2 linked regions of the Styela clava genome follow. The protein of the gene in region 1 binds, or shares a complex with, the protein of each later gene. Links are inferred from orthologs where the notes say so. Each region holds a gene or a part of one and is shown in the gene's direction. Other genes may lie near its edges.

What was found. Proteins that work in one complex are often made in the same cells at the same time.
Region 2: nuclear pore complex protein Nup160-like (region 1) and centrin-3-like share a complex: the UniProt entries of both Homo sapiens proteins name them as parts of the nuclear pore complex. The link is inferred for Styela clava from reciprocal best matches to the Homo sapiens genes NUP160 and CETN3.

The regions. Positions count from the first base shown.
Region 1 is NC_135250.1:6,156,769-6,164,653, reverse strand, and holds the start of nuclear pore complex protein Nup160-like, read left to right. Parts: upstream 1-4,862; 5' UTR 4,863-4,884; coding exon 4,885-7,885. Other genes in the region: GA-binding protein alpha chain-like, read left to right, coding at 2,230-3,456. UniProt on the Homo sapiens protein: Functions as a component of the nuclear pore complex (NPC). Involved in poly(A)+ RNA transport.
Region 2 is NC_135263.1:8,827,014-8,832,820, reverse strand, and holds centrin-3-like, read left to right. Parts: upstream 1-3,877; 5' UTR 3,878-3,936; coding exon 3,937-4,440; 3' UTR 4,441-5,302; downstream 5,303-5,807. Other genes in the region: regulatory-associated protein of mTOR-like, read right to left, coding at 47-205, 794-876, 952-1,054, 1,981-2,166. UniProt on the Homo sapiens protein: Plays a fundamental role in microtubule-organizing center structure and function. As a component of the TREX-2 complex, involved in the export of mRNAs to the cytoplasm through the nuclear pores.

The DNA.
Region 1 (7,885 bases):
ATCGATCGATTTTAGTCCTACTATGAGTTCAAAGACTAGCCAAGTGCCTCTCGTAGTATTTGTACCTAAAATTATGGCCTAACCCTAACCTAGTACACATATTACATTCCGATGTCCGCCAACTTGGTTCGCATACTTCAGGAGCCCCCAAAATTGCGTATGTCCCCAAGTCACAGTCACATTTCTGCCCAAGTCACAGTGCGCCATTATGACGTCATTTAACTGCGTCATACAAATTAACTTAAATCCAGCTACGATCAAAATATTGAACCATGACAAATTATTGACTCTCAATGACATAACAATATCATTAGAAAGTTTTTTACGTTTTTCTCAAAACTGCTAAAAATGACTTACGCAATTCGGTTATTAGCGTGACGATATCTTATTCCTAACCCCCCACCTGACTATGCCATCCAAAAATTACGTCACTACGACGTCACCATCACGTCATAGGGATTGCCAAAGTATAATTACGATCGCCCAAAATAGCATATGCGCCGCCGATAACGCGATCTTTCTCCTATCGTGATCGTTGCGACGAGAAAACGAGAGAAATAGCTTGCTCGATTTCTGGTGATTGTCTGCGTGCTTTGGACGACCATCCGCATACTTCGGTGGGCCTTATTGCGCCACTGTGATGTAGGAATGACGTAATTTTTCGGTGACGTAGTCAGGTGGGGGTTAGGATTGACATATGCAAAAATTGATGAGCCAGGCCAACTAGAAGTGGATGTGGTACTAAACTATACCAGACCCCTGCAGTACTGGTAAGGTACCGCAGTGAATTACGCTCTCAGCTTTTCGTTACAGTTCTGATGTAAACAACATAAATTTTGTTGCCTACCTTATTTTTTTTTTATTTGATAAGAGGAAATAAATTGAGTTCTTATATGACAAGGAAGAACCGTTCTTCGAACGAATTTCAGGTACTGGTTAGTTACCGCATATGATTATCGGGGAATCGATATTTATTTTTATTTTGCTCTGGTACCGTAATGGATAAGTGATTTAAATCACTTAGTATTTCAATTCACATTGAAAGTGGGACAAAACAGGCTTTTAGTGGCCCGGAGTAGGCTACCTGTCAATCAAGTCATCGATCTAGTCACACGAGCTGTTTTGGCGTTTAGAGACCGTTTGCCCGGGTAACGGGAATTTTTTGGGAAGTGGCATTAGGGGTGGAGGCAGTGCCTCCGCCTCCTCAGTGGTGAGAAAACGTGTGGAAAGCCACGTCCACTTGTTACCTAATCCTATAAAGTCGCTTTTCTCTTTAATTCCTGGACCAATGTATGTATTGCTCTGAAATTTTCAGTGCATGAAGATAAAAATTTTCTTTAGAAGGATATTACTTTCATTTACTTCAAACGTGTCCATATATTTGAGCATATCTCTCTTGTTGGGTTAAGCATGGCTAACTTCTTATATCTAATGGAATTATTTTGATATTACTGATATATATGTTCTTAATGTTTGTTCACTTGTGGTACACAATATGTCTTTATTTATACTTAATTTATCGATTGTTTACTTCTTGAATAATCCACATTGTGGATCCATTTAAAAAAAAATTCAACATTCTAATATTATTCGAAAATAAGTAAAAGTATATATTTAGGTTATAAGTTTATTTCGACTCCATAATCAGAAATAATAAGATAAAAGTAACTGATTATAGAATCGGGAGAGCGAACTAAACCCCGAGTAAGGTTTGAAACGTACAGATTTTAGATGGAAAGGTATTGATAAAAGAAGTAGTACGTGTTCGCTCACCCAAATTTTGAAGTTTTTTTGAACTCTAGTTCAGCAGTTTTATTCATCTGTTTATTTACTATTCATATCTGCGTATACGTATATACGGTAGATTAATAGTAGAATACCAGTATGTAGATATAAATATCTTAAGAATAGGAAAAATTATGTTGTGATAGAACTGGGACGAATTGGCCAGTCAACAATTCTCACCTAGTTTCCAGCATAAACCATACCGGTACCGGTATTCGTTTAGCTAACCAGTTACAGAATTAGCGATGAAGGTCATTCGTTTGTTCTGATATACCTGTATACTGTGTATGAACTATCATTTGGTGAAGTGGTAGCGGTATGCCAAGCATAATATTATTCTTAATAATATAACGTTACCAGTAAAGATATGGTTTTCGCTAATTTCCTGAAATGTTTTATGTTATACAGTCATAGAATAATCTCACTTGTCTAAACTAAATAGAAATGGAACAAAAAAGACGAAAAGTGAATCGGAAATCTGGGATGCCAGCGAAGTTACATAATGGATCCCACACTGATTCTGTTATCACTATTGAACTGGATACTGGAGTGGAAATATTGAATATTCAGCAATTGGTTGAAAATCGTTTACAATCTGCGGATTTGAGTGATTATGAAATTTATTTACAAGATATTCCACTTAATCCACAACTGAGTTTGTATCAGCAAGGCGTAAAGGTTTCGGGAAGTGTCGAACTCAGTATTCGAGTACAAACTGATAATGGGCGATTGACTATTGTTGAAATTACGAAAAATATGACCGATGAAGACATTCAAGCGTTGAACGGTCAACAAAGTGGACTCTCAGAAAATGGACATTCTAATAACGAAGATTCATCAGAAAATAAAGAGGAACTTGGTATTCCTTGTGACCCAATGGAATGGACATCAGATCAAGTATTTCGCTGGATGGTCTGGGTGGCAAAGGAATTTAATTTAGATGCTTCTGTCATTAAAAATTCTAGAATGGATGGAAAGAAATTATGTTCATTAACGATTGAAGAATTTTTTGTGAAACTGCCATATGGAAATATTTTATGGTCACACTTGTCGTTTTTGAAAAGATTATCAACGAACGATGGTGAACATAATGTAGAAATAGAAAACGATTCTGAAAATATGGCTTTAAATTTAGTTCTAAATGATCAACAAACGAACATATCAGGCAATTACGCACGGCGGGCTCCAAGAAGAACGCCGGCTATAATTTCATCAGACAAAGGTGCTCCAATCAGTACACGTTCTCACAACAGCGGAGGCCAAATTCAACTTTGGCAATTTTTGTTGGAACTTTTAACAGACGCAGACGAACGACACGTCATAATGTGGTTGGGAGATGAAGGGGAATTCAAATTTTTACAACCCGAAATGGTGGCTCAAAAATGGGGTGAAAGAAAAGGCAAGCCCACTATGAATTATGAAAAACTTTCTCGGGCTCTGCGTTATTATTACGATGGCGATATGATCAGTAAAGTACCTTCAAAGCGCTTCGTTTATAAATTTGTTTGCAATTTGAAAGAATTACTAGGTTATGATGCAGGAGAATTGAATAAAATGGTAACTGATTGTTCGAATAAACGAAAAGAACAATCGTCTGATCAAAATGTTGTGCCAGTCAATGGCGACTGTATGATAAATGGTATCGCATTGTCTAGTCTTGTCAATCAATGATGCTTTTCTATAATTCGAAGCCGTTTTGTTAATAATGATATTGCTGTTAAATGGTATCTGTAAATAATATATATCTGTTAAATTTTGATAATTTGCTCAATATCACATACGCCATATTTTTGTTGCCGAATATGTCTTTGTTTGCCATAAAAATAATTTTGGTAAAAATCTTTGTTTGGGGAAATATATGAAATGATACAACAGTAAAGTTCCCACTGATTTCAAATGTCACTGAGAAATTCTTATCCTTAAATGGTCCTGAATCATATAAATATAGTTTCTAAACTCATAATAGCATTTTTGCTAATTTTATGTACCTATGCTAATTTTAAACATACCCAAAATAATACATTGTTAGGATGGCTTGGATTTTTGGTCCCGATTCATTTGAATATATTTTGCGGGTTTTCAGAAGTCATAGTGTTCTAATACTAACCTGATCATTTCAATCACAATTTGAAAATCGTGGTTCGACTTAAGTTATTTGATGATTTGAATTTGAGTGTCAGTATTTTAGTATTCTTTCAGTTTGCTACTCAATTTGATTTATGTAGCATGTATTGTATATTTGCATAACATGAATCATAAATGCGCTATATAACAATTCAATTTTAAGAACACAGCAGTTGATAAAAAATCGTTATAAATACTATTTGTTGGAATTGTACCCTTATTCGCCAGTCTTGGTATTAATAAGGTTATTTTGATTTTCGGCTCAAACTACAGTATTAATTTATTGAACAATTCCTCAAAGCAATTATTTTCTACCAAACCTGGACCAAAACTATGAAAAATGTGGAAATTATTTGATTTTTGTGACTTATGTTCCAACTGTCTGGTTTGCTTCAAATATGATTGTCAATGTCAGCAATATTGTGGCCAGCTCAATTTTCAGATGAAATATTTGTATAACTGTTTTTTTAAATTTTTTTGGTGGTTTGGGTTTGACATCATATTTGAAGATATTTATTTACAAAATGAATAAATGGGTGACGGGTAACAATTTATGCAATCATTTCACCGACTCTGTACCCTCTGCCTTTTGAATGAATGTAATTCCTTTTAGAATTAAAAAAACCAATCGATTTGGTGCCAACTAATATGACTAGCTTAGCTACTAATATTTCAAATGTAAAATTTGAATTTGATTTTTGTACAAAAAATCATCCCATGCAAAAAAATTAGTCAAAGTTATTATTTGGAATGCATTAGTGTCATGTCAAAACACTTTATATTTGTGATTATAACCTGATAAGTATTCTATACTTTCTTCTATTGCCATTTAATTATTCAACTATTACCGGTATGTATTGATACTATTTGTGATGTTGATTTGGTGCTACATGTTATTTTTCTAGCAACTCACTGCAAAGTAAACGCCATGATTTATATATTTTTTCTTTTAGATAGTGTTTGTAATATAACATCATGGATATAAAGGATCCAGCCTTGTTTCTTCAAGAAATTCCTATACATTCAAAGTTTTCGCAAAGACCTGCTCAAGAAATTTCAGTTCCTGAAGGAGAAGGTCCAGTCGATGCATCCGAGAATGTTACATTTCCTGAATCCGGTGGTGGTGTGACCTTACAATTGCAAGATTCAACGAGAGTGATTTGTTGGCGCACTCAAAAAAATTCTCTGGAAATTTTTGAATATTCTCTCGATGTGGATTTGTTTTCTTCACATTTTATCATCAGTTTCGAAGGAACTAAAATAATACCTGGAGTTGATGTATCGCTGTTCAAAAATCGCTTATACATCACTTGTTGTACTCTTCATGCAGTTCATCGTATGTCAATTGATACTTTGTCAACTGGGCGATCTGGACCAAAGTCAGGGGTCAGTTATCCATCTTTACTTTCAAATTTAGCGACTTTCAATTTTGAAAATGAGTTTGAAAACTTCTATTTTGGCGAAAAAATTCAGGGACTTGTAACAGAATGGTCAGTAAGAACGATGCTTCCGGATAAAGGTGACCCATACACTGCTGTTGCGTTGAAAACCAATCAAGGCAATATGGCGCTTGTTAACATGACAAGTCGCTCTCCTCCAACTATTGCAAATATCTACCAAGCGTCAAGGATGTCACGAATATGGTCCGGTATTAATCCATGGGGTGAAGCAGCCGGCACTGAAACTATCTCTGATATTGCAATACTCGTGATTGAAAATCACCCATACGTCGTTGCAGCATGTAAAGACCGTAAACTGCGACTTTGGTCTTTTGAAACCCATGATATGCTTGTGAATTATGACCTATCAGCACATTTTCAAGATGATGGTGACAAATCGAAAGCTGTGGATCTCAAAGTAAGAGTTGTCAACGAAGTTGGAATGATAAGCTTATATATTTGTATGTCGGATCAAGCAGGATTCCTTCAATTTCAAGTGAAAATGGATTCAAGCACTGGTACTTTGGAAACTAATTTTTTGTCCGTTGTTTTTGCTTCCCTTTCACCACAAGGACTACCACACCGCCATCTGGTTGATTATTTTTTAACAGAAACAAATAAAATATTTACTTTGTGGCGTGATACTGAAGAAGTAGATTCTATTTCAGTGTGTGCTGCTGATGTAGGTGTATGGCATGAAGTCGCTTCACACCCATCACCAGTTCTAGAAATTCCACTTCTTCCATATCAGGATGTCGGAGAGGCCTACATGGATTACATATTTAGCTCAGGTAAATTCAGCCCTGTAGCATTGACTCGAACGTTATCTATTCATCAGAGATCAAACGTATCGAACATGGCGTATCTCCAACCACAAGAATTGAAGGAAAGAGTTGCCGCACATATTCAAAATGCGATTCAAGAAATAATTCCGGATGAAGAAATGGATGAGGATGCTTTGCAAGTCTCAGTGTGGAACTCATTTTATCAAGATCTAATTCAATATCAGCAAGTTGTGTCTCGTTCTTTGGGGCTGATAATCAATCACGGTTCTTCACAGAGTCTTGTATCCGTCATCAAAAAAGGTTATCTTATGATATTAGCCCCCGTTTCACCACTTGAAGCTGTTTGCCGTGGATCTGATCCGGATATTTTTCGAACATTTTTACAGCCGGACGATTGCACAGATGCCAATCTCAATGACTTAGCTCAATTATTGGAAAGCCTTGGAAAATTACATAGTTATTTAGGAGCGGAATTAGTAGAGTCAATACAGCAGAGCTTATGTTTGGCTGGCAATTCCCCACCTGATGTCATAGAAGATATGATGCCAGATATTCAGGGTGCTGTAAGAGAATCATCAGGAAACGACACATGGGATAATCTTATCATCAAAATTAATGATGTTTCGTCTGCTGTCAAAATGCTAACGCTCTGCTTAAGCCCTTCAGAATTTGCATTCGATTTTGATATGCCAGATTTACAATCTTGGCCAGCAGGGTCACTGGGGGTTGAATTTATATCGCGTTGTATTATGCGACATGTTGAAAATCGTTTCCAACTCTCCATCCTGCTTTATGTACTTTCCTCATTGCTAGAAACTCTACAGAGGCAAGATGGTCATATACAACAAGAAGGAGACACTCAATTAGGATTCCGAATTGTTAGTTTTGTGCAAGCTTATCAAGCTATGTTCTGGTTATCTACTGTTCAAACACAAAACATATCACAGGCAACTTTAGAAAGCACCATGCAAACTTTATCCGTGCATGATTCAACACTTAGCATAGACCGAGAGGCAAAATCCACACTTGCGCAAGGACACCAAACCGTACTTGAATTCTTTATTTCATCTGATGGAGGTAAGCTCTTACAAGCATATCTGCAGAACCAACAAGGACAAGGTATTCACATCCTACATTCAGGATTGGTTACAAATTTTGTCAACTTTGTCGTTTACCTTATGTGGCCGCTTGGGCCTACACTCACCCTGCTAGATTTTTTGCTCTCTCATGGACACTACACTGTCCTTCAAAGATACATCCAGCGAGAGCTTGGCGATTGGTGCAACTGGAGCACAAAGTCTCAAAGATACATGCTAGCGCACTGTCATCTTCATAATGGAAACTTTGATAAAGCCGTTCAATCCTTTATCATGGCATCGTCAGGGATTAGCAATGAGGATTATCTCGCTAACAAACTGCTGAAAGAAGATGAAGAAAACTTCCACCCAGCAGCTCAAGAAATTATCTATTATACCAAAGTTTTACCGATATTTGAGAGATTAGATTTACCTGAACAAGTGATTACTTTGGCAGAACATGCCATTCAAGTTGCAAAATCACAAGAGCATGATCCGAATGTGTCCATTTTGTGGTCGAGTATATTTCGACAGAGTAACCTACTACAGCGGCATTGTAATGCACTGAAAGCAATAGTACTAAACCCAGATCCTGATCATAGAAAAGATTGCTTGAGAACTCTTGCTGTCTCACTTTGTGAACATAAGAAATACAAAACACTGGTCGAATTCCAAT
Region 2 (5,807 bases), on another chromosome or scaffold:
CTTTTTGCTATGATAATGCTAAACATGTATTAGGAAAAAGAAGTACCTTGTTGAATACCCAAATTTCACCATTAACAGTTGGCTTCGGAACGCCATGGCCATTATAATGAAATAAAACTCTTTCTTCTTTAGAATTTCTTCGCAATGAAGTACATAATCTTTTGACATCTTCAACTGTCGGATCTAGAGTTTGTTTGTAACGAGCCTACAAAATAATAAATACATAACTGTTTTGTAATATACTAAGTGAATGAATATATATTGTCTTACCATAGGTGACTTATAATTTTTATGTTACAATCTGGTCAGCGAAATATATATCAATACATTAAAACTCTATACAAAATGATAAGACAGGGGGGTGTATTAAAACAGTAATTCTTAAACTTTCACAATCCATGGCCCCCTGCATCTCTATAAAAATACCAAATTTTGAAGTTACATTTTGATCAGTTATTTTATGTTCCATGTTTAATATTAAAAAATTCAACAAAAGAAAGTAAATGCATTATAGTAAAATCACAGTCAATCTATTTAGGCCCTGCTTGTGGCCCGAGAGAACCACTCGTTGGGGGGCCGAGAGCCCTATTTGAGAAACCCTGTAGTAAAATGAATGCAGATACAGAGACTAAAATACTAACAGAATGTCAACTATCCTATTAATAGAGTTCCTGGGTCTGTCTGAATGGCAAGTAAATCTCATCCAACACTGATCATTGATCTCAGTCTGAGATTTGGTCAACCTATTTATTAATATTTTAAGTTTTCAAAGTATAATATTCAAACATCATACTCTTGATTGCCATCTTTCATACTGCTTTTGCAAATTATTTCCGATTGCTTCCAATGCTTTTTGAGGTGTGTAGTTAGATGGATCTATAATAAAAGAAACAAATTATATATAATTCAAGTCCTTTATTACAATAAACAAAGTATTTTAATTAAACAAACCTATCCAACATTCTTGTCTGGCACAAGGTGTTGTTTTCACAACATCTGGAGGATCGACACCAACATTTAAACATAGAACAAGTGCAACGCTGACAGTCTTCATCTAAAAATATAAAATGTGCTACTATTGAATATAGTACTGAGATAAAATCACCAATCAATCCCTTGCTAAAAAAATGCATGCCCATATTATACAATGATTGCAATAGAGCAGTGTTTCCCAACCTTTGATGGCTCGTGGCCCCCTTCCGAAAGCTTTCAGCACTCATGGCCCCCTGTTTATCATTCCAGTGGTATTTATAGTGTTACTTTGATGGGTAGATTCCAAATCCCATTATGTTCAAACAATTCATGTTCAACAAAATGAATCTACCATGTGAAATAACATTTCCAAGCAATGAAACTAGGAACAACAGGAAGTTTTCTTGTCAAGGGAAAAGTAAAATCAGTTTTGCGCCCTGCTCTGTGGCCAATTTACAGGGCCATGGGCCCCCGGCCGAGAACCGCTGTATTAGAGTGTTTATACTTGTAATGAAAAATGTGTACTGTTTTATTTGAAATTTTTATTTATATGTTTATAATGTGAATAATAATAACTCAGTTATTGTTAAAGGAATTAGTTGAAAGAACATTAATACATAGCAAATTAATATTTATATTTAAAGTAATAGTTGCATTTAATAGAATTTCTATAAAACCAATTCTCAACTATTCAAATAATAATATTATTCCAGTAACATCACAATTGAGTGAATATCTTCCATACTAAGTAAATATTCCGCTGAAGGGTTTTATATAAGAAAACACAAATTTTGATACAATGCTTAATTTAATTTGAATATACATTTCAACATTCGATCTACATGAATAGATATGCATACATGTTTCACAAAAATGCAACATTGGATGAAATAATACAATTATCATTAAATAATAATGAACAAAATTGACAGTTATAATATACAACAGAAACACCTACAAAACATCATATAATAAAACGCACCTCTATCAACAAAATTAAACAATTACCCTTTCTTTCATTCTCCATGTTTGTGTGACTGGCTTTGAACTTGTGATGCTTTCCAAGTGTCTTTTTTGTTGAAATGCCAGAGGTAAATTCCATCCTGCTTCCATCATATTATGAAGAATCTCAGCATCCTCATCTACAGTCTCCCCCTCTTTTTCTTCATCCTTTTCAATCCCTCGACCCAACATAGTCTTCAACCAAGCTGATCAATTTACTATAAAACTCTAGTAAAGGAATGGAAGAATGTAGACATTCGGTATAACAATTTTGGCTTCAGCCCTACAAAAGCTGCAAAGCCACAGCTGCACAGATACAAAAAAGGAGAGGTCTGCAAAATAATCAATCTTAACTTCTAAATCTGTATTTTGAATTCTGTAATATCAGTTTCATTGCAAGTTTTGGTCGATAGCATATGTGTAATTATTGAATGGATAGGATTTTCATATGAATCGCTGGGATCTGAATAGAAATCCAAGACTGCAATGATATTAATCACATATCATCATAATCGTACGTAATTTTGTAAAAGAACGACATCCATATTGAGACAAATTAGATTTGACAATACTTGTGATTTTATAGCTTTACTAATGACTTTATACGCCGAGAATATGAGAATGTCACAACACATCTGACATCTTTATGTTTATTTATTATACAGACGCTGTTAAACAGTGAGACAAATTAACATACACACATACAATGAACGCCGCACCATGGTTAACTGAATATAGTTAGCATGGTTAACTGAATATCATGACAAAGCTTTCACGAATATTTTTGCTCAATGCTGCCACCTTGTGAATTTGAACACCGCCACTAACCGTCAGTTTTGACTTGATTGTGTTTTTGTTTTGTCGGTTCCGTTTGAACTTTTATAATACTTTGCAATTCTAGCGCTGAGTTTGGAATAGAAAAGGTATGTAGACTATATGTAATTATTATTGATTCTCACAACAATATTGATATTGCATTTGTTGAATACAGCATTGGACGACAACTTCTGCTGTTCTGGGATTAGACTTTCCTGGCCATACATGCTTGCATAGCTTTTGTCCTTGTATAGAGTACCGGTACCGTAATCCTATTAGATTTTTTAGAAAACATAATACATGTACGGTAGTACAAATATAAAAGAAGGAAAACATGAAACTACTGTAATTCTATGGCTAGTGATAGTTTATTTTTTCTGCATGAATATTTCCCGTACCTTAAAGCGATTTCCCGTCATTCCCGCTTTTTGTGAAATTTCCCGCTTTTTAGTGAAATTTCCCGTAGTTCCCGCATTTTAGTTTTTGCAATTTCCCGTCGTTCCCGCAGTTCCCGCATTTTAGTGCATTTCCCGTTTCCCGCATTTTAGGGTTGCCCCAGGATTAGTTCATGTAAAAATATTCACAACAATAGGCTGACAAACTATATGAAAACTTTCAATCACAAGTTAATGTGAGATATATTACCAATATAAACAAAGTCACGAATAAGAAATCTCGCAGGAAATGATTTGTGTGTATTATGTCTGTATGTGGAAAAGAACATGAACTTCTGAGTCATCTATTTATGAACTGCAGAACTGTTTATATTTTGATTCATTGAAAATACTGTTAAAAAATTTAAAAAAATATTTAATGCTAGACTTTTGTGCCATTTTAATGCCAATATTGTGTTTTATTAGACTTTTGAGTTTTTTACTACTAGAAGACATTTGATTAGCCTATTATTGTGTTTTAAGTTACCATTAGTAGATATAAAATATGGTTACAAAAAAATGTATTATATGTCAAGGCAGTACTCGTATTTACCATATATAGTAATTAAACAAATAAAAACAGCAATCACTTATCTCTGTTTTATCCAATGCTGCCTGTTCTGAATTTATGTTCCTGACAAAAAAAATCTAATCATTTTTTTTTCTTCATAATTGCCTTTTATAGAATTAATATTAAAAAAATAATTTCAAGATGAGTTTGTCTCTACGTGGAGATTTTGGACTGGAAAAATCCAAACGAAAAAAGCGGAGGGAGATTTCAGAGGAACAGAAACAAGAAATTAAAGAGGCTTTCGAATTATTTGACACAGACAAGGATAAATTTATAGATTATCACGAACTCAAGGTCGCAATGAGAGCATTAGGGTTTGAAGTAAAAAAAGCTGACGTCTTGAAAATTTTGCGAGAAAATGACAGAGAAGAAACTGGAAAAATCAGTTTTGATGATTACAATGATGTCATGACAGACTTAATTCTTGAAAGAGATCCCCAGGAAGAGTTGACAAAAGCTTTTAAACTCTTTGACGATGATGACAGTGGTAAAATATCATTAAGAAATCTACGTAGAGTTGCTAGAGAACTTGGTGAAAATATGACAGATGATGAATTGAGAGCCATGATTGATGAATTTGATACTGATGGTGACGGCGAAATTAACCTGGAAGATTTTATTGCGATTATGACTGGTGATACGTGAAACAATTCAAGCTTTAAAACTATCAAAATATTGAGTACAAACATATCTTCCTTTGGAGAAAAAATTTATTTGGAAAAGTTCTAGAATAGCATCTGATTAAAAATGTATATATGTAGTTGTTTTGGGGATTTTGGTTGGAATTATCTGACTATATAGCACGGGGGAATATCTTCTTAATTTTGAACAGAGACTTTGGACCATAAAAAATATTGATAATTCTCTAAATATTAGTTGAGATATTTGCTCCGAAGTATATGTTAAAACTCCATCATCATTTGCACTATGCTTTGCATACAATCCACCCTTTTCATCAGTATACTTTTTATATCATTATTATAAATTCACTTTGCAATAGTATCTATTTTTGAGCGGAACAAAATTCATTGGCAAGGAAATATTCAATCCTAATTCATTCAGTACATTTTATAATCCAGGTAGAAGGCTGTAAGTAGCATATTTTTTTTAAATATTTTTGCGACAGCAATTTACACAATGTTTCTTCACACAACTTTATTATGTATAGTTTTCTATGTTGTTTTATTAACTGATACAAATCATCTTCACAGGAGAAGACCGGATATATAAAATAAGTAGGTACTTCTCGGGCATTGTCTCATTCAAAACCAATATATTTCAGCATTTGTGACAATCCTCATTAATACATTTATATAATCTATTACTCTATTGCTGCTTATTTTTTGTTGCCCCAGCTAATTTTACAAAGCTTGTTGTTTTGTTGTCAATTTTTCATTTTTTTGTGTAATTTAGGGAGATGAAAAGATGGTTGATTCAGTCATTTTTGATATATTTGTTTGCATATTAGTACTTGAATATACGTCTGTGAATAAAATTATTTTTGAAATTGGTGCATCACTCTTAAGGCTAAGCTGTAAATAAGCACCAATCGAAGCTGTCACAAATGTTGTTCGCCCTGGTCGACTTATCGAAAGCAGTCATCGGGCGACGGGTGTCCCCAACCAATCTAGACACTTATCAAATTAATTCTTTTAAATTAATTAATCAAATATCGAATCAAATATATGAGTCCAAACTGAATATGTACCGTTATCACTATTTTCGTCGATACCAACAAAACGCCGATATTTCAGATTGCCGATAATATTAGGCTTACCATACGTCCCGGTTTTGACGAGCTGTCCCGGCCGGTTGACTCAAATGTCCCGGTTTGTCAGCACGGCTGTCATGGGTGAAAAATTCATATTCCTTATTGTTACAATTTTTTTTAACGGTGGCAGCCCATTTACCACTGTTTTGCGACACACTTCGCTAGTTCAGAGAGTAAAAAATGCTCTATTGTTATGTCACAATCGGTATATGTTTTAATGCGTTTTCTGGCGTTAACTACA